Linked DNA regions of Oryza sativa Japonica Group. The main gene of each other region encodes a partner of the protein of the gene in region 3 in a complex. Links are inferred from orthologs where the notes say so. Each region holds a gene or a part of one and is shown on either strand. Other genes may lie near its edges.

Region 1 (4,991 bases), about 26 Mb from region 3:
ATGATACAAAATTATCTAAAGGTATGGTACATGTTGACTTACCCCTTAACACATTTCCATTATAAAAATATACTACTGCAATATATGGGTGTGCCTCAACCCTTTAGGGTGTGTTTGGATAATGGGAAATGAGGGGTGAGATTGGGATTGGGAAATGAATGAAGAGTTAGGATTAAATGTATGAGGGAGAATGAATGGTTAAGATTTAAAGAGGGGTGAGAAATTATTTCCCTTAGACATTTGCCAAACACTGCCTTAGCATCCAAGCTGCTTCATCAATACCTTATCTACTGAACAGGCAGAAATCAGATTCAGTAAATCTCCTAACTCATCAGTTAATAGATGCAACAATGGGGGTAAATCTCTAAATTGATTCGTATGTGGGTGATTCAGAAAGAGAGAGAGAGAGAGAGAGAGAGAGAGATTCAGGAGAGGGTCGACGGCGTCGAGGAAGCCCGCGTGGTCGGCGGCGCGGCCGTGCTCGGAGGGGATGACGTTGGGGATGGTTCGGAGGCGGCGGCGGCGGAGGAGGAGGAGAGGAGGCCGAGCCGAACTGGCGTCCCGCCGCAGTCGCCGGCTTGTGGTCGATCTGCAGGCTGTCAATGCTGGGGTAACTTGCTGCTGTCCCGAAGCAAAAAACAACAATTTTCCAGTGTTGAAATCAATGTCATCCAACAATCCAAGACATGTAAAACGTTACCACTGGATGAATGATGCAAGAACAATGGTAAATGTCAGATTCAATTCAGGGTTCTCGTTCTTGTGGAGTCACTCACATTCAGATGATGCGGCTGCGACGAGGGCACACCACCCAGCTTCTGCTGCTGATACTTGCTCCCGTTCGCCTCCTGCAGGAGATCACCATTGAAGAGGCTGCGACAACCCTAGCTCCTCCTCCTCCTCAGACCATTTCCTCCATGATAGGCTCCCTCCGTGGCCGCGGCCGCCGCGTCCGCCCTCGCGCTCCTCCTCCTCCTCCTGTCCCGCTCGCCGGTAGCACGAGGAGCCGCGTCCACGTCATCACCTACCGCTCCCCCGCCGCCTCTGCGGCCGCGGCCGCGCTCCCGTGGATCGACTGGGCGCGCACGGCGTCGATGAAGGCGGCCCCGGGCTGTTGTCCTTCGCCTCCGATCCGGGCAGCGTGGGTCGGTCGCTGGCGCTGCTCGTGGAGTTCGCTCATGGTCGGCGGCGGCGAGGCCCGGCATGGTCGGGTGAGGCAAGGTGGGAAGTCACGCGGGCGGCGGGTGAGGCTCATGGTCGGCGGCGGCGGCGAGGCCCGGCATGGTCGGGTGAGGCGAGGTGGGAAGTCACATTGTCGGCGGCGGCGAGGCCTGGCATGGTCGGGTGAGGCGAGGTGGGAAGTCACGCGGGCGGCAGGTGAGGCGGGCGGCGTGGCTGGCGTGCGTTCTTTTTTTCGTTCTTTTTGGCGTGCAGTTTCTTTTTTCGGAGCAAGACGCGGTGTTAATCCGGTGCTAATTGTAACCGCAGGATTAATCCGGCGCTAATTGCAATCATGGTGTTAATTACACTAAACAACTCGTGCTTTTTATATTAGTCTAGATTAGAGTCCAAGTCCGATTCAATTAGTGTTAACTAATCGGGTGAGTTAATTGTTAGTAATAGTTTGGTTTAATCCTGGGCCGTCCGATCCATTTGTGTGTGGATCAGATCTGGACGCGTGGTGGTGATGTGATGCAATTTTCCGCGTGGGGTCCCTTGGTTCCTTCGTAATCAAGCTAGCCATGGGCCCACGTGCCAGTCAGAGAGTGGCTTGCGCACTGTCGATGTGCTGGGCCCACCAGTTTTCTTTGATGGGCCTAGATGTAATTGGGCCTTGGTGGATAGAGAGGAGGAGGAGAGAGAAGGAGAGGGAGAAGAGGAGGAGGAGGAGGTCGCCGGCGGCGAGGAGGGGGACGAGATCGCCGGAGATGGACATCATCTCGCAGCTGCAGGAGCAGCTGAACGAGATGGCGATGGTGGCGGTGAACACCTTCGGGACGCTGCAGCGGGACGCGCCGCCGGTCCGCCTCTCCAACAACTACCCGGACCCGCTCAACCCCGCCGCCGCCGCAGCAGCAAACCCTAACCCCGACGACCCCGCCCAGCCGCAGCCTGGAGCGGCGGCGGCGGCGGCGGCGGGAGCTCCGGCTGCGCAGGCACAGGCTCCGCCGGCGCAGGCCCAGCCGCCCGCGCTCGACCTCGCCGAGCATCCCAAGGCCATGAGCCACGCGCTCGTCCTCGCCGCCAAGAAGGTACGCGTCTTCCGTCGCTTATCTTCTCTGCTTGCCACCTGCTCGATGAAATGCCTGAGTGCCTGCTGGTTCTTGGGGTCTGACGCTTTAGGGCTTGGACTGTAATTTTTGGTGTGACCAGCCTTAGCATTTTTGTGTGATTGCAACCACGGTCAGGGTGCCTGGTTCTTTGAAAATTCTTCTACTTACAGAATCATATCTTCTATAGTGAGATTGTTCATGTAGTGTGGTAGAGTACTTTAGTTGCATTGTGCTGTTTTTTAGCCCTCTCGAGATAATTTTGAATGGATCTGCAAAATAGGAGCTTCACTCATATTATTCCTCGCAAAGAAGGGTTGACGATGATGTGGATCACACCAATCTTTGTACTGTTCCTCGCAAAATGTAGGTGGGATGATGGTATGCAGCACACCAACCTCTGTCTCCAGAGGGCAAACTTTGCATCTGAGAGTACACTTGAAATGTGCTACTAGCTACTGTTTCCAATACCGTTCTCTTTTTTTTTTGGTTTTTTTATGCAGTTTGATGCTCTTGTTTCTGCGTTGCCACTATCATCTGAAGAGGATCAGCTGAAAAGAATTAAAGAGCTACAGGTATGTCTCAGTTTTGCCCTCTGAGCAGTACATTGTGAAAGGGTGACATTAAGCTAGTGTCTTGTGAAGATGGTATCTTTGTGCATGTTTCCTTCTGTTTTTTTTTTCCTACGCCTTGTGGATGGAGTTTCATACTAAGGTTGTCCTCCTTAGTCGCTTGCTTTCTTCTGAATGAAGGTTTAGCAGACGCTCGGCAGCATGTCCTGCCATAGTATCAGTATTCATGATACTTGTGTCCTGCAGCTAAAATGCTTATGAATTTGAAATGCGCAGGCAGAGAATGAAGTTGTAGGCACAGAGCTTCAGAAACAACTGGAAGCTGCTGGTATGCTTTGCTATTACATTCTTGGAATATTTTGCCTTCATTATATAATTCCTCACCATGTTACAACTGATTATTTACAAGTCCAGTGTTTTACATGTCTTGTTGCTTTTGTAGAGCTGGAGCTGAAGCAAGTTGAGGCTCTTTTTAATGAAGCTACAGATCATTGTATAAACTTGAAGAAGCCAGAGTAATAGTTATCAATGTAAGTTTGGATTTCTCCCTTCACTATCTCAATAAATCTTTAGCTTTTTTTGTGCTTGCAAAAAATTATGCTTGCGCTTATGATATGGGATTATTTTGTGACCAGCTGTATAATCCGCTTGACTTCCCAAACTTGGTACACTGTATTATCAGGAAGTCAGGATACTGATAACAATTTTGTTCTTATGGTGCTTTTTGCAGTACAATATTCTACATGCACCATTTACTAGATGGCTGTTGGCATCATGTCCATGATCAATTATTGGTTTATGTAGTTTATGTACGATGATGGCCTGAACAAAACATAATTATGGTGGATGTTGACCTGTTATATTAATCCCTCGCAAGATGCTTTCATAAAACCCTCTGGGGGCTTGTCTTTCTGTTGATCAGAAAATTCCAACACAGTGTTGTTACGTATGATCGTAGTATCACTAAAATGACTTATGTTTGCTTTCCTGTCATATCAGGTAACGGAACCCATTTTGGAGTCATGAACAGATGAAGGTGGAGATGTGAATGCCAGCTGCCGATGCTACATGTAGACTCAGTTTTAGTATCAAGTTAGCTGATGCTCAACAATATTCCAGTAGTACTTGTTGGATTAGGAATTAAACCTAGCACTGTAATTTACAGTAACTTGAATAGTTTCAAGCTGGTTCGTTTAATCTGAAATAATTTGAGCATAACTTCATGTTTATTTATTATAGTTGGGCCACTGTTCGTTCACAGCAGCACAGGACCATATAGTGCTATGCAAATACAATTAAGACATGCCTAGGATTCATACTCTTTGAACTTTGAAGAACTGCACTGAAGATATGGAACAATATTATCTCGGTATAAAGCATTCCTCTCTAAAGATTACCCAAACATTGAGGCTAAACATGACTTGAATTCTAGCAACTCTGACACTGAAATATAGAACACCATATTTTCTAGGGGCACTTGGACAAACAAAACATCCCTTGAAAACTTTATTTGTCAAGCTCCAGAGATTGGCTGGCTAACTTGGAGCAAACTCTCAACTCAGGCATACTTGCAATTGCCAGAACCTGCAAAGGTTGGCAAGAAAGCCATGTAAATTTGCAGGATTCAGGTGAAAGAAACAGCAAGTGAAGCAAGCTTTGAAGAGGCTAATACTTACTGGGATCAGTGATGGTGATGAGGCCAGTGCCGTTGAAGAAGCAATTCCATGAGTTCCTCCCCCTGGCCTGGTAGTAAGCGTTCATGGTGACCGACGCCCGCGTCGGCAGGCTGCCATCGTCGTCGGGGAAGGAGCATCCGCCGGTGCCCTGGATGGCGGCGCAGTCGCTCTCCGAGCAGGCGAACTCCAGGTTAGCCCTCAAAGCATCCTCGCTGGCTGCTGGATTTGCGACACACCATGTCTTGGATGACTGCAGGTTTTGCTCAGTTTCAGGCAAGAACAGTTGATGAGCATGGCAAGATCATATGATGCTGCCATTCTGGGTTTGTTTGCATTGCTGCAGAATTAAGGAGAACTGAAATTTCTTGATGAGAACTGAGAATTGTTTGTTTGTTTGTTTGTTTACCTGGCTATGGTATAGGCTGGGTGCTGCTGCTGCTGCTGCTGCTGCTGCATGGAATACAGATTGTGGA
Region 2 (5,253 bases), on a different chromosome or scaffold from region 3:
AGTGGTAGAATTACCTGTAATTTTTGTTGGGATTGGCCCTGCAGATCTTGTAGCTGAGGAATTGCGCTCTACAGGAAAAGTATGGAGAATCAAGCACTAGAAAAGGAAGGAACAATGCTTTGAAGTAAATGAAATGGAATAATTTTAAGACAGCAGCATAGAAAATGAAAAGAAATGTGCTTTTAATAGCTACATAACCTTTGGGTGCTGTGACAACTGAGATGATAAACCGTAACCCAGACAACAAAAAAGCCTCCGAAATAAAAATTACCTTACCTGTGCTAGCATCCCAGCAGCCGATGGTCTTAGTTGCTGTTGAGCATGTAGCTGCTGTTGCTGAGATGTTTGCATCAGTTTTTGCCTATGTTGTTGTGCCGTCAAATGCTGCTGGGGTGAAGGGGTGTTCATCATATTGGTCCCTGACCTAGGGGAGTTTGCATATGGCATTGGAGGAGTAGATACATTTTCAAAATTAGGCGTTCCTGTAGCTCCAGGTGATGGAGCAGGTCTGCCAAGTAACTGTCCTCCAGACACCTGCTATTAGAATGAAGGCCCAAATTTGAACATCAAGATAGAAACATCAAAGGCCTGCATGAGGTCAGGTTGGTGATTGCTCTTATGAAATGCAATTGTCTTAATAATAGTTCAAGGGAAAGCATTCTAACCAACACTTAATACAGTTGATCATAGAAAGGAATACCAATATACCATTACAAATTATATGGCAAATTGATACACGGGAAACAAAACATCTGCCTTTTGTAACTTTTTTTGCTTTCAGCCCAACTAGCAATAATATGGACATATTCTATTAATTTCGTAATGGTCAAAGCTGTTATTACTGGCACTAGACAAACCTGCATTGGATTTCCCTGGGCGTTGACAACATTAGGTACAAATGTTGAGGTATTTTTGGGGTACACACCTGCAAGTATAGACTCTAGTTATATGCTTTTGTTGAAGCATTGTGTGACATACAGACTGCACAAATGGCAACACTAAGGGTAGCAGCAAGTTATTGATTATTTTTATATAAAAAAACATCTAGAGCAGATGAACAACTCATTGATGCTATAGTTCCAATGCTCAAAACAAGGAGTGAACCATGGAGAATTGTAGGTATGTCACAGAAACAGACCAGAATTATCACCAAAATTATGTGCCCCATCTCCAAAAGGAAGTACGTCCACTAAATGGCTAGGAAGAGATGAATACATCTGCCTTTGGTCTCCCGGTACACGCAATCCTGGATAATCAGACTAAATCATCATGGACTATAAACAATGAAATTGTTACATAAAAGGAGAAGCTTATGCTAAAATTAAATTCAAAGTAATTTTTAAACTGATAGCTATATTAATACACCATTAATGCTTATCACCTTCACCATAATTTACCGCTGCTCTAAGTAGGCCTTCCTGCTCCTGTATCTTTGCAGCCTGTGCCTTGTCCAATGTAGGACCAAGATTTGCCCCCTGACGGGCTCCTAGACCATAATTCTTGCGACTTTCAGCAATTACTTTCTCAGCTGTTTCACATGCACTTCCAATCATATCTATCCTAGTCTGAAAGGAATAGCAGCAAGTCCCATTAAAATTAACAGATAATGAAAAGATCACGCAGGTATAATAAGCTACATAGGTTTGCATTTTCCAGACAGAAATAATCACCTTTAACTTTTCAATTTGTCCAGAAACTGTTAGATTCGTTATTCCAGACAACAAGTTGTCCCTCTTTGTAGCTTCTTCAGCTTCCATCTCAGGTAACAGCTTTGACGACAGCATTACAGGCAGTACTGCAGTACTCACGAATATCAAACAGGACTAACGATGTGGTAAAACTAGAAGCAGATGAACATGGGAACACAAATTGCGATGCATCCCAACCATATACAGCAACCGTGACCAATTAGCATCTTGTTAGGTCATTTTTAGATTCCTATCACACTTATCCCAGAAATAGGAAAGTGTTGACAAAAATGGCTACCCATGCTACATTAGGAATATCTTTACCAATTTACCCTAGGATAAAATTCGTTTAACTAAAGCCAATTAGCCATATCAGCCTGAAGTTTAATCTCAATATTTAAACCAAAGGAATAACTATTGCTAGGAAGTGAGAAAGGTCAACAATTGGTTCTTCATGTGTAAAACAACTCGTAAAAGAAATGACATGTATATATATGAACTACTCATTACCAAATGCAGCATAACCATAATATCTCATATATCCTTGTTGCTCATAACAGAAATCACATAGTATATTTCTTGGTTCTCATAACAGGTGACCTGTCTTCTCATCTGGCTTTGGGCACCATTGAACATGAGAAGACTCTGTTTGGTAAGGTCATGGAATCAAAAGTGGTCTGCTTAGCTGGGTAGCGTGTAACAGCTGCCCAAGGCAATATTTTGTGAAGGTTTGAACTACGCAGAGCAATTCCATTCTACATTATGTTCATGTATTCTTCTTCCCACAAACTTTATGCTTGTGGATCTACCTAACTAGTGTGGTTATTACTGATATAGCGATCGATTGGTGACACAAGAGAAGAGAAGTGGAACAGCAAGCATACTGGCAGCGTTTTCGGCATTAACGTTTCGGGGGTAGACCACAAACACCTTGGACACCTTCTTGATGTCCTCCACGATATTGAAGAGCTCCATGCTCACCATCGAGAATTGCCCAAGCACATCCTGCCTGCCATACACGCACCACGGCACGAATCAGCATTGCATAAACCCTAGAAAGGGGAAGCTGAATCCTCTACAGAGTCCAGCGGGCGATCGGGGGATGGGGGAATGGAGGTGAGGCAAGTACTACCACTTGGGGGAGGCGTTGGGGTTGGCGCGGGCGATGGCGTCGAAGTCCTCGAGGATGCGGGAGATGGCCTTGTACAGGCCCACGGCGCGCGCCCGCATCCCCTCCAGGTTCAGCTGCTGCTGCACCCCGGCGCTGAGCCGCTCCGTCCGTGGCTGCTGGTCCCCTCCTACGGGCGCCGCCGGGTTCGGCGCCCCGGCGGCCGCCCCTAGCGCCGCCGCGTCCATCCGAGCTCGCCGGATCTGCTGCGTGGAGGAGCTCGCGGGAGTTGGGGGGCTTCACAGGAGGCGGAGATGGCTTCACGCCGGCGGCGGAGGCGGCGGAGATGGGCCGTCGGAGTTAGTAGGGCGGCGCCGGAGAATTTGAGTGTTGGAGAGAGGGAGACCGCGAGATGAGGACGGGAGGGGGAGGTGGTTTTTCCCCGTTTTCACGAAAACCGGTAAAATCGGCTCAAAGTTTGTTAAAGAAAAAAAGAAAAGGTTCGCTTTGAATATTTTTTTTCAATAAAAACTTACCAAAGAAAACCGAGCAATTTGTGTTGTCCTGTAAACCATGGGATACGAGCGAAATAGACAACAAGCCTTGTTTAGTATCCGGAATTACTTCATAGTAATAGGATACGTTCCATTTCATGTTATGTTGCTTTATATTGAGACGAATGAAGTAGATTAATTTATATATTTCACGAGGAAATTTTTTGATTTTTTAACCGTTAGATTCGCTCCAATATTCATGTAACTGGGGATGGGAAAAATGAATTTTCTTGGAAGAAACACTTCTGATGCTATGATAGCATGGTTTTTTAATGTAGTTACATATAGTTAATATAATTTTATTATAAGTAGTGAAGTCGTATAAGTTGTAATGGGAAGTACTAAATTTATGACAAACATTACATGATTAGAGTTCATTTTATGACATGTTCTATTTTTTGTCAATTAGCTCCAACATAAACTCATGTTTTGAGCAAACCCCAAACATCAATATTTTGGTCCCATGTTATCTCCTTCTACTATTGCATAGGCCAATTTCATACTACCCCTTATAAGGTTTTAATCCAACCCAGACATAGCGTTGTATGTACTACAAACAACAATAAATTATAGTAGAGTATTCTTGCTTGTGAACACTGAAATCATATCATTTAACTCCTTATATCTTAAATCTCAAGTTTTGTTGCTTTCCATAAAATTGAGGACAATGCTAACAGTAGGAGCTAAGATCATGGTACTATTTGTTACTTTTTTTAAGTAAAATATATGGCCGGTCTCTAAACTTGTGTTGTGCTGTTACTTAGGTTCATGAACTTGAAAATTACACGTTTAGGTCCGTGAACTTGGTTTAGGCTGTGTTTAGATCCAAAGTTTAGATCCAAACTTCAGTCCTTTTCCATCACATCAACTTGTTATACACACACAACTTTTCAGTCACATCATCTCCAATTTCAACCAAAATCCAAACTTTGCGCTGAACTAAACACAGCCTTAATGTATCACCTTGGTCCAAACGTCCTTTGGCTGTGTTTGACCGCCAACGTGGCATGCCACGTAGGCAACACTTTCGCTCTCAGCTCCCTCCGCGTCACAACACGTCGCATATATCTCCTTGTAGCTATATTGTGACACCAGAATCCCAAAAAAGAAATCCTCAAATCGCTTTTCCCTCTCATTCTTCTCCCTACATGTACAGAAAATACTCATAATACCACAGGATTTCTACACTTTGACTATTATAAATACGGGATGTTGTGGCATTCACTATAAATTTAAATTTTGTTAATTGAATTTACAGTGCAAGGTTACCATCTAAAAGGAAGTTTTGTCTAGTAACTTCTTCCCTGTATTAGTAGTCCTCTTGCCATTTGTTCTTCACTGTTTCCTACTTAACTGAAATCACAACAGCCGTCAGGCAACTACTTTCAAACGAAAATTTGTCCCCTTCATCAGAAATTAGGTGACTGAACCCTCCTCCTGCTGCTGCTGTTGTTTCTGCTGCCGAAGATACTCATGGATGGAAGAACGGAGGACACGATTAGGGATGAGTTTGAGATCGGGAAGGACCAAGTTCGTCATCGGAGACCTATTATTCCCGCTATCAAACCACCTCCTTATGGCCTCTCCTTCATAGGTGAACCCATCAGATGCGACTTGAGGATCTTTCATGATCTCCTGAAAATATCAACACGAGTCGTCACAAATGCACACTAGAAAATTTTTCATCATTGAACATTTTCGACAAGAACATTATAAAAAACGGATAAGCGAAAAAATCATCCGAGTTTAAATTTATTTATTTACCATGAGGATCGGACAGATGAAAGGAGCAGGGATACAAACTTCTGGTGATGCCGGTGGAAAGTACGGGCAAGAAGAGGGCTTCCTCATCAGTGGCCTGACGACTCTCCACACATCGTTCAAGAGATCGGGCCGTTTCTCC
Region 3 (4,456 bases):
TGTGAATGTGGACTGTATAGCATATTGTATCTAGATGTGATAAGGTTATGATGCAGTTTGTAATCCCTTTCTCTTGACCTTGCAAGTTCAATCAACACCATGTTTTCTACTGGTTATTATAGTTTTTTCTTTAAGTTCCCTATGCATGTAATAACTATTCGAACAATCTTTGCCTGCACCATATCTGTTAGTTAAACAACAGGCCTTGGTTTACTGAATGGTTTCTTTTCTGTAGTATCCATCCCTTCATAGCTTTTGTGTTTTTCTTTCTTGTGATCACAGGTGAAGAACTTAAAGGACCAATATTTTCCTGAATTAAATGATTTGTACAATAAGATCTCTTTGAAGCTACAGCATGTTGACAACATGGTTCCACCTCAAAAGCCAACAGAACAGTATGAAAAGATGAAGAATTTCAAACTGATGTTGGAGCGTACAATGCATGTTCTGCAATTGAACAAGGGCAACATTCAGCCTGCCCTTAGGGACAAAATTCCTGCGTACGAGAGGCAAATTATCAGTATCCTAAATTCGCAAAAGAGGCCAAGGGTGCAAGGCCAGCAGACACAATTTCAACAATCTGCTGGGCAAGGTCCTACCTCTAACATTCCGCAACAACAACAACCTTCCCAAGGTTTGCAGCAGCATGATAACCATACTAATCAGATGCCTCAAGCAAGCATGCCAAGTATGAGCACCGGATTACAATCCTCAGGTGCAGCTGGTATCCAACATTTACCTGCATCCCCAGCAACAAACTTTGGTGTTCCAGCAACACAGCAAAATGTCACAAATGCACCACAGGCTACCTCTAATTTGGAGGTTACTCAAGGAAGCAATTTTAATTCTTTGCAGCATGGTTCAATGAGTGGTGCTTTGCAACAGGGAAGCACTGGGCCCATGCAGGGTACACTGAATGCACAACAGCAGGCCAGTAGTAGCATGTTATCTCACAACTCAGTAGGTACAATGCAGGCTAATGCCAATTCCATGCAAGCCAACGCAAATTCATTACAGCAGCTGAAGCAGCAACAGCAGGAGCATCATATGATGCAGAATCAGCAAATGAAGCGTCAAATGTTTCAGCAGTTCCAGCAAAAACAAATGCTTCAGCAGCAACTCCCAGCACAGCAACAATTACAGAAACAGCAGCAATCACAGATGCAGGTTCCACAGCATCATTCTGGAAATGATGCAAACGAGCTGAAGGTTAGACAAGGAGCTGCAATGAAACCTGGGATTTATCAACAGCACTTGGCTCAGCGCAATAACTTTTATAATCAGCAAATGAAACAGGGCAGTGCTTTCCCAATTTCGTCACCACAAAACCTCCAAGCATCATCCCCCCAAATTTCACACCATTCTCCTCAGGTTGATCAGCACAATCTCTTGCCGTCTCAAGTGAAGACCGGGACACCATTGCAGTCAGCTAACTCACCATATATGCCATCTCCATCGCCACCTGTTGCCCCGTCTCCTATACCAGTGGATTCAGAGAAACCACTCTCCAATTTATCATCATCACTTACTAATACTGGTCAGGCTACACATCAGCAAACAAACATGGCGCCTCAGTCACAATCAATCGCCGTTAACACTCCAGGGATCTCGGCCTCACCCTTGTTGGCAGAATTTACAAGTGTTGATGGAAATCAGGCTAACATGCCAACCCAAGTTCTAACCAAATCAAGTGCAGCAGAAAGGCCTTTAGACCGCTTACTTAAAGCGGTCAGTAACTTTGCCAACTTTTTATTTACTGTCTTTTCTTCGTTTCTGTAGTGCAAAATAAATTTATTATTTAATCAGTGCTATTCTGAGTATATTTTAAAGCGTAATTAACTATGGCATAAAGAACACAGTAGGCTCAGCTAAAATATTTAGTTCAGGAGTTATATATGCCATGCCTTTTGCTTGTAACCTCGTGCACCTACCTTGCTAAAGTTAATACAAACATTACCCTGTTTCAATCAACTAGTTTATCAAACGATAACTAAAATGATGCCCAAAGGTTGCAGCAGATCTCAGATAAGTATATCGTAAATTCTGAACTTGATAATTATGTCAAAAAGGGATACTATGCTAAAATCCCAGTCACATGCACATATGCGTGTGCTAAGGGATTATGCAAATAACACACATGTTAGATCTGTACACAAATATTTTGAAGTCAAGGGGATGCAAAGCATGGGAGTCATCATGCCTGGTCATTTCATGTTACTGCTTATTTAAAGTTGACTCTTTGAGTCTTGACATCTGAAGAACTTGATAGGTTTAGCATTGACCTATTTTATTTATTTCTCTTCACTATTGCTCTGTGGAATCTAGCTATGTTTTCCGGATAGCCTGTTTTGCTGCTGTGCTAAAAGAGAAGAAATCATTAATACCTTTTATTCCCCTCAAATTAGCTTCCTTAAACAAATTTTGATCATATAGAAGGCATATACCCTCCCTTTAGATTGAAATTGAGGATTTACCTTCCTGTCCCTTTTTTTTTCTTGCATGATTCATGTCCCTTGTGTTCTGTATGGCAGTTGCGGACAACACAACGCCAGTCCTTGAGTGCTGCAGTAAGCGACATAGGTTCTGTTGTCAGCATGATTGACAGGATTGCTGGGTCTGCGCCTGGTAATGGTTCTAGAGCTGCTGTTGGTGAAGATTTAGTTGCTATGACAAAGTGCCGATTGCAAGCCAGGAATTTCATAACACATGATGGGACCGGTACATCAAAGAAAATGAAGCGTGACACTAGTGCTATGCCTCTTAATGTGTCATCAGCTGGAAGTGTTAATGACAGTTTGAAGCAAACATTCAGCATAGGTACCCCTGAATTGCAGTCAACTGCAACCTCACGTGTAAAGTGGCAAAAAACCGAGGTATGCTCTTTATTATTTCATAGGGATCAATACATTATATGCCTCAGTGATCAGCTTCACAATCGTTTGTATAGATGAAACTTAGTGGCATGATGAATAAACTAAAATATCATGATTATCCAGCTGTTTTGTTTCCACAATGACTTCCATTACATATATGGGCCCAGAGAAGGGAAGTATAGTTAAATTGACGGGAGCTATTCTAAATTTTTGGCTACCTTTATTATTTATCTTGTCTCTGGTGCACCTGCAGATAAACCATGCTCTTATGGAGGAAATACATGAGATAAACCAACAGCTCATAGATACAGAGCTCCATGTTTGCGAGGATGATGCTGAGTCTTTTGGTGCTACATCAGAAGGGACAGAAGGGACAGTCATCAAATGCACATTTACTGCTGTGGCTGTTAGCCCCAGCTTGAAGTCCATGTTTGCATCAGCACAGATGGTAAGCTTCTCAAAGCATGATCTGTGGTATCGGCTTTTATTGTTCGCTGATGTTCCATGTTAAAAATGTGTGGCAGAGTCCAATTTTGCCATTGAGGGTGCTTGTCCCCGCTAGCTACCCTAAGTGCTCCCCGGTTCTCCTAGACAAGTTCCCAGATGAACAAAGGTCAGTATCCAATGTTTTATCAGATTCTACGCCAGGTACTACATATTAGGCTGTCCTGATTCTCTGTACATAAATAAACTAAGGATGTTGCATTGTGCTTGTGAATCTGCTATAGAAACTCGGATGACCTGTCGACCAAAGCGAGGTCGAAGTTCAGCATATTGCTTCGGGGTTTAGCTGAGCCCATGTCACTAAGAGAAATTGCGAGGACGTGGGACGCGTGTGCCCGCAAAGTAATTGCTGAGTATGCTCAACAGACTGGTGGAGGCAGTTTCAGTTCGAGCTATGGTTGTTGGGAAAATTGCGTGGGTGCTTAATCCCCATTCTTCTTCAGTCCTGCTGGCACCAATCTTCGTTTTGCATCGATATTGTGCGATCGCTTGCACGCCCTTAACTGGAACGGTTAATGCATCGCTCTATAAATATATGCACATAAATATATGTAACCATAATTAACATTTTAGCAAACATGCAATTGCTACTGGTGTGTACTTATTTATTATGTGTGGTTGTACTTTTGGAAATCCTCCCTGTTTACTAGCTGGATTTGGTAGCGGCCCCTCTTGTACAGAACAGTCTACATCTCCAGCCTGGTTTGATTCTAATATAAATATACTGTGAGATCGCTGCTCGTAATATATGTTGTGTATTGACAACAGTTGAAGGACGTGTGATTTTCTGAGATGTGCTGAGACCAGTTTCGTCGGACGTTTTCTCTTTTCTTGTGTGTTCTTTTCATATGCGGAATGGCGGTAATCAATGAGCATGTACAGAATATAAGAAGATCAAGCTAGGGAAGTATTTGACATTTTTAGCTTGGTTGCTAAGGGTGTGTTTAGTTCCCGCTAAAATTGAAAGTTTAATTGAAATTGGAACGATGTGACGGAAAAGTTGGAAGTTTTATGTGTGTAGGAAAGTTTTGGTTCGATGGAAAAGTTAGAAGTTTAAAGAAAAAGTTGGGAACTAAACC
Region 4 (4,890 bases), on a different chromosome or scaffold from region 3:
AAGAAAGTCTCTTAACGTGTTCAACTAAAGGAAGATAATCATCCAAACTATAGATCGAATATAATGCTAACAAAGAAAACTAATACAAATGACCACGGCAAACAATAATCACAAGCATAAAGACCACTGTTTGTACAGTAAGCATGTTGCACATTTAAACGCCCCTATTTCTGCCTTATATTTTTCTTGGGCCCACTACTTTTGGATTCCTTCGATTCATTGGCTCACTGTTTTGTGCAGCTCTCTCAGCTACCTTTTGCTGGCGCACAGAAGGTCATGATGCCGGAGATAATTGTACCGAATAACATCCTCTTCGTCCAAAACCTCCCACATGAGACGACCCCTATGATGCTTCAGATGCTCTTCTGTCAGTACCCAGGGTTCAAGGAAGTCAGAATGGTTGAAGCAAAGCCTGGGATTGCTTTCGTGGAGTACGGCGACGAGGGGCAGGCTACCGCTGCCATGAACCATCTTCAGGGGTTCAAAATTACGAAAGATAACCAGATGCTTATCTCGTATGCGAAGAAGTAAATGTACTATTGACTTGCTCGATGAATGTTGTAGTCCCAAGTTTTCGCATAATCCATAGATTTTCATTGTTAGGTAGACTACACCATGACAACCATGTTAATGTACTACTGCTCAGCTGCCCGTGTGTGTTTCAGGAATGAGATGAAATTTGAACCATCTTTGCAGTCGTGAGTTCTCCTAGTTAGTTCCACTCGTGTTCCCTTGTGTAAAATATGGCAGCTTGAGACGATTTACATTTATGCTATTGCTGTTAGCCTCGTTAAAATATTTACCATCTCATAGTCATACTTGTGTAGTTGTGTCACCATGGTCACCTGACAGCAACTGTGGGATTCAATTACCATTAAATCATTAATATGTTGAAAGAAACATCTAAAATGACAAGTGAGGCAATTAGACAATTCCATTGAACACACATGTTATCATACACTCCTATAATCGGGAAAAAGATGTTGCTCCGAAAAATCTAAAAGTTTAACATGTTAGGCATGCCTAACACGATGAGATGGAGAGCACACGAGAAACTACGAACAATAATATTATGATAAACCGAACATAGCAACGAACATTAATACAGCGCAATTTGTTCGTCTTCGGCAAACTGGTCAGATCCTAAAACATTGTTGTGGTGTTTTTTTTTTCCTGGCTGGCGTACTCAAAATCTCCAAGGCATAGCCCAGCACTGGGCTACTCAGGTTGATCATCGGAAGGAGCCTGGGACATTTCATGGAAGACAGTGGTGTCACACTCTTTCGAGTTCAGTAACATGCTTTCCCAGCTGGTCCTTCAGCTCTTTCTGCCACCCTTCGATGAGCTTCTTATGTTTGTCGATGAGCTCGGACTTGGTCTTCAGCTCTTCCTCCATTATAGCAATATCCTGCAAACCGAAACTGGACATGTTAAAACATGATGACACATTATTATTTGATTATTACAGCTTGGGGACCACGCCATATAGGATTTCTCTTGATTTCTCCCATGAAGCTTATAGAGAAAAATCGATGCACAATTTTTTTTTTACAACGGTTGCAATATAACATCAATATAATTGATTTCAAAGAGAGGGTCAAATGGATTTTATACAACCAATCTAGATAGCTTTAAACTTATTGATGGGCCAAATATTAAAAACCATTGGATCTCAAGCACTCTAAAATGTTGAGCACAACGAGTACTAACACAGAAAAAAAACTTCAATTAGACATCTCAGAGAATTAGTGCTAACAATACGGGACTGATTTAGAGCTGGCCCAGTCAATTCAAGACTGTAAAAGAGACAAACTCAAGCCCTTATCTTTGAAAATTGAATATTTTTTAGACCTTTTCCCTCGCCATCCCCAAGCTCTCAGCCTCCCATGTCTGTGTACTCTGGTGTCAAATCGTTACTCTGTGCTTACCCAACCTAGGGCATGTTTGAGGGAGCTTTTGGCAGCTGCAGCTTTTCCTAAAATTAAAAGCTCACTCAAACAGTTCAGCTTTTCATCTAGATTCTGAGAAGATGTAGTTAAAGAATACAGAAAATAAACTAGAAACAAGAAACCTAACTTTCCAGCTTCTTCATATTCTCATAAACTGACTACCAACCAATTGCTTCTCAAAATCTTAAGCTCCCCCAAACAAGGTCCTAGTTCTACCTACAGGCTAATTTGCTAATCACAAAGTTCTAATTTGCTAATCATTTCGAAGTCAAGGAGTACCTTTCGAAGCAAAGTTGTTCCGAAAGCAATGCAATGTACCTTTCGAAGCATTTCTTCTGTCGACGGTCGGTCCTCGCGCTGCAGGCTGATGAAGTAAGACTGGAGCTTCTTCGCAGCCTCCATGAAATCCCTCGCGTGCCTCTCAACATCAACTGTTCCACATTATAACAACCACAACACCTTAGAATCCCTATTTTGCTAACCAGCAACAAAGCAAAAGAATCCAATTTCTACATCGACAGTTGAGCACACAGATGTAGAACGCTCAAATGCCACCCTCTCAATCTCATCTCAGCACCCGCGAGACGCCCGCGTACCAACAGCGCAAGTAAAAAGAAAAAATAACTTCGCCACATTTTGCTAGAGCACGAGGGGCTTCCTAATCCCCACCTCGTAGGCAAAACAGCGAACACCTGGCGGGCGGGCGAGTCGAACCAAACCAGCCGCGCCAAATCTTGGCCGGGGGAAGCGCAAGAACGACGGGGAAGGGAGGCTGCAGAGGGAGGAGAGAGGGGGAGCGGCGGGGTCAGTCTCAGTGAGTCCGACGTACTCTGGTGGGAGGATTGGAGGGAGCGGTCGACGGCCTGGAGCTCGCGCGCGGGGAGGCAGGGCAGCAGCGCCGCCTCCAGCGCCGCCACGCAGGCCATCATGTCGTCGCGCGCGCTCTCCCCGGGCCCCTGCTGCTGCTGCTGCGCCGCCTGCGGCGGCGTCTGCGCCGGCGACTGCGACGGCGGCTCGGCCATGAGAGCGAGAGACGAGAGAGAGAGAGGTGGGGATCGCAAAATTGCAATGAAACCCTTCTTCCAAAAACTACTAGAAAATGGGTGCGCCTGGCGCACCTACTAAGGCTGTGTTCAGAGGAGGGGCTTGGGAACCCCTCCTCCTGCCACGCAAAACGAAGTTTATTTTATTGCATGATTAATTAAGTATTATCTAATTTTATTTTAAAAAATAGATTAATATGATTTTTTTAAACAACTTCTATATATAAAGTTTTTTTATAAATCACACCGTTTAGCAGTTTGAAAAGCGTACACGTGGAAAACAAGATAGGTGGGTTGGGAAAATGGGGGGAAGAACATAGCTTAAAAGTACCCTGTAAATATTTATACCTTTGTTAGGATGTATAAATGTTTTAGAGTTATTTAGACTTAGTTTGATTTATTAGATATATAGATATATATACATATATATATATATATACATATATATATATATATATATAATGATATTTATGATATTTCTATTTGGAAAATAAATCTGGAATTCTATTTGGGAAAAATTCTAGGTCTATAAATATTTTTTTCTAAGTTAATTGTCTGAGTTTGAATAAAATGCACCAATATATAAAATAATAAATAAATGCAATAAAGACATATTTCATGATGAATCTAATTAAACTAATTTGGTGTTACAGATTTTGTATTTTTTTTTATAAAGCCAACCGGTGTTAGAGAAGTTTAACTGAAAGATAAACTTAGATTACAATATGAACATATGGAGTCAGTGAATTTCCGTTGTATTTTAGAAAAAAGAAACATGAAATGCTAATATTTTTTTTCCTATGCATATTGTTTAAGTCCCATTTATCTTTATGTTTGTGTATTTAATCTTGTGTTAAACATCAAATATGGCAACATATATTGCTTGACTTCGTGACTTTCTGATTTTTTTACTGTAGCATAAAAGTGAACACACTTCTTTGCTGCTCGACACGTATGCATGCGGTTGTCATAAATACATCTAATTAATCGATCAGTGATAGTCACAATTAACTTAATGTTATCGGTAGATATTTCTTTTATTGATGTAATATACTCCTTAGTTGATTATAAGTTATAGCAGAATCTAATATAGCATTAGGTTAGGTTGGTGCCATTTTGGGGAGTACGACCGATGTACCCAGTCGGCTAGTCAATTGGTCTAATCTATACTTCTTCAAAAAAAAAAACGGAGATATGTCATATAGTGAATATGTCATCATACCTACCCTCATTGTAAATTTTGTAAGTTGCCCCTTAAATTTCTTAATATTTAAAAGATCAAATCTAAATTGATAGTCAAATAAAAAAATGATTAGGTAGTGTTTGAATCTCCTGAAGATGAAGATTAAGTGTTTCACGCAAAACGAGGTGATAATAACATGTGATTAATTAAATTTTAATTATTACAAATTTGAAAAATGAATTAATCTGATATTTTAGAACAACTTTCATATAGAAAGTTTTCGTACGAAACACACTGTTTAGCTGTTTGAAAAGTGTGCCACGAGTATCTAAAATTTTATCCTCAGATTGCATAAGAAATGAACATGGCCTAAGATGAATATTCCCTATAGCAAAAAGATGGTTAACATATTAATACATTTTTTTATCTATAGCAAAACACAAACATTTAGCTAGGTGTTCGAAGACCCATTATTTTTAACAATTACTTAAAAATTGCATTTTGTTTTAGGATCTTTTCTTTCAGCCCATGTAACATTGGGGTTACCAATATTTGTTGAGAATCTTGGGAGAAAGATCTAGTTAGAAATAAATCACACCAATCTGTAGTTCTGCTATATCTAGCCCACATCAATCTGCTATATCCGTTTCAGGATGGAGGAAGATTTATCTAGAACATAGAGATCCTATCTTTTGCCTCAAACTCTCTCTGAATA

Evidence for each region.
Region 1: mediator of RNA polymerase II transcription subunit 15a (region 3) and mediator of RNA polymerase II transcription subunit 21 share a complex: the UniProt entries of both Arabidopsis thaliana proteins name them as parts of the mediator complex. The link is inferred for Oryza sativa Japonica Group from reciprocal best matches to the Arabidopsis thaliana genes NRB4 and MED21.
Region 2: mediator of RNA polymerase II transcription subunit 15a (region 3) and mediator of RNA polymerase II transcription subunit 8 share a complex: the UniProt entries of both Arabidopsis thaliana proteins name them as parts of the mediator complex. The link is inferred for Oryza sativa Japonica Group from reciprocal best matches to the Arabidopsis thaliana genes NRB4 and MED8.
Region 4: mediator of RNA polymerase II transcription subunit 15a (region 3) and mediator of RNA polymerase II transcription subunit 28 share a complex: the UniProt entries of both Arabidopsis thaliana proteins name them as parts of the mediator complex. The link is inferred for Oryza sativa Japonica Group from reciprocal best matches to the Arabidopsis thaliana genes NRB4 and AT3G52860.

What each region holds. Positions count from the first base shown.
Region 1 is NC_089042.1:2,024,592-2,029,582, reverse strand, and holds mediator of RNA polymerase II transcription subunit 21, read left to right. Parts: upstream 1-1,813; 5' UTR 1,814-1,928; coding exon 1,929-2,252; intron 2,253-2,553; exon of another isoform or gene 2,554-2,636; intron 2,637-2,773; coding exon 2,774-2,845; intron 2,846-3,118; coding exon 3,119-3,170; intron 3,171-3,284; coding exon 3,285-3,361; 3' UTR 3,362-3,372; intron 3,373-3,841; 3' UTR 3,842-4,075; downstream 4,076-4,991. Other genes in the region: major pollen allergen Ole e 10, read right to left, coding at 4,401-4,426, 4,519-4,768, 4,925-4,968. UniProt on the Arabidopsis thaliana protein: Component of the Mediator complex, a coactivator involved in the regulated transcription of nearly all RNA polymerase II-dependent genes.
Region 2 is NC_089037.1:18,123,037-18,128,289, reverse strand, and holds the start of mediator of RNA polymerase II transcription subunit 8, read right to left. Parts: upstream 3,217-5,253; 5' UTR 3,045-3,216; coding exon 2,821-3,044; intron 2,698-2,820; coding exon 2,573-2,697; intron 1,796-2,572; coding exon 1,671-1,795; intron 1,566-1,670; coding exon 1,382-1,565; intron 1,247-1,381; coding exon 1,139-1,246; intron 926-1,138; coding exon 858-925; intron 538-857; coding exon 277-537; intron 69-276; coding exon 15-68; intron 1-14. UniProt on the Arabidopsis thaliana protein: Component of the Mediator complex, a coactivator involved in the regulated transcription of nearly all RNA polymerase II-dependent genes.
Region 3 is NC_089042.1:28,443,090-28,447,545, reverse strand, and holds the end of mediator of RNA polymerase II transcription subunit 15a, read left to right. Parts: intron 1-282; coding exon 283-1,728; intron 1,729-2,531; coding exon 2,532-2,873; intron 2,874-3,126; coding exon 3,127-3,321; intron 3,322-3,397; coding exon 3,398-3,486; intron 3,487-3,601; coding exon 3,602-3,803; 3' UTR 3,804-4,124; downstream 4,125-4,456. UniProt on the Arabidopsis thaliana protein: Component of the Mediator complex, a coactivator involved in the regulated transcription of nearly all RNA polymerase II-dependent genes.
Region 4 is NC_089039.1:3,231,898-3,236,787, forward strand, and holds mediator of RNA polymerase II transcription subunit 28, read right to left. Parts: upstream 3,044-4,890; 5' UTR 2,972-3,043; coding exon 2,779-2,971; intron 2,381-2,778; coding exon 2,268-2,380; intron 1,409-2,267; coding exon 1,274-1,408; 3' UTR 917-1,273; downstream 1-916. Other genes in the region: U1 small nuclear ribonucleoprotein A, read left to right, coding at 241-531. UniProt on the Arabidopsis thaliana protein: Component of the Mediator complex, a coactivator involved in the regulated transcription of nearly all RNA polymerase II-dependent genes.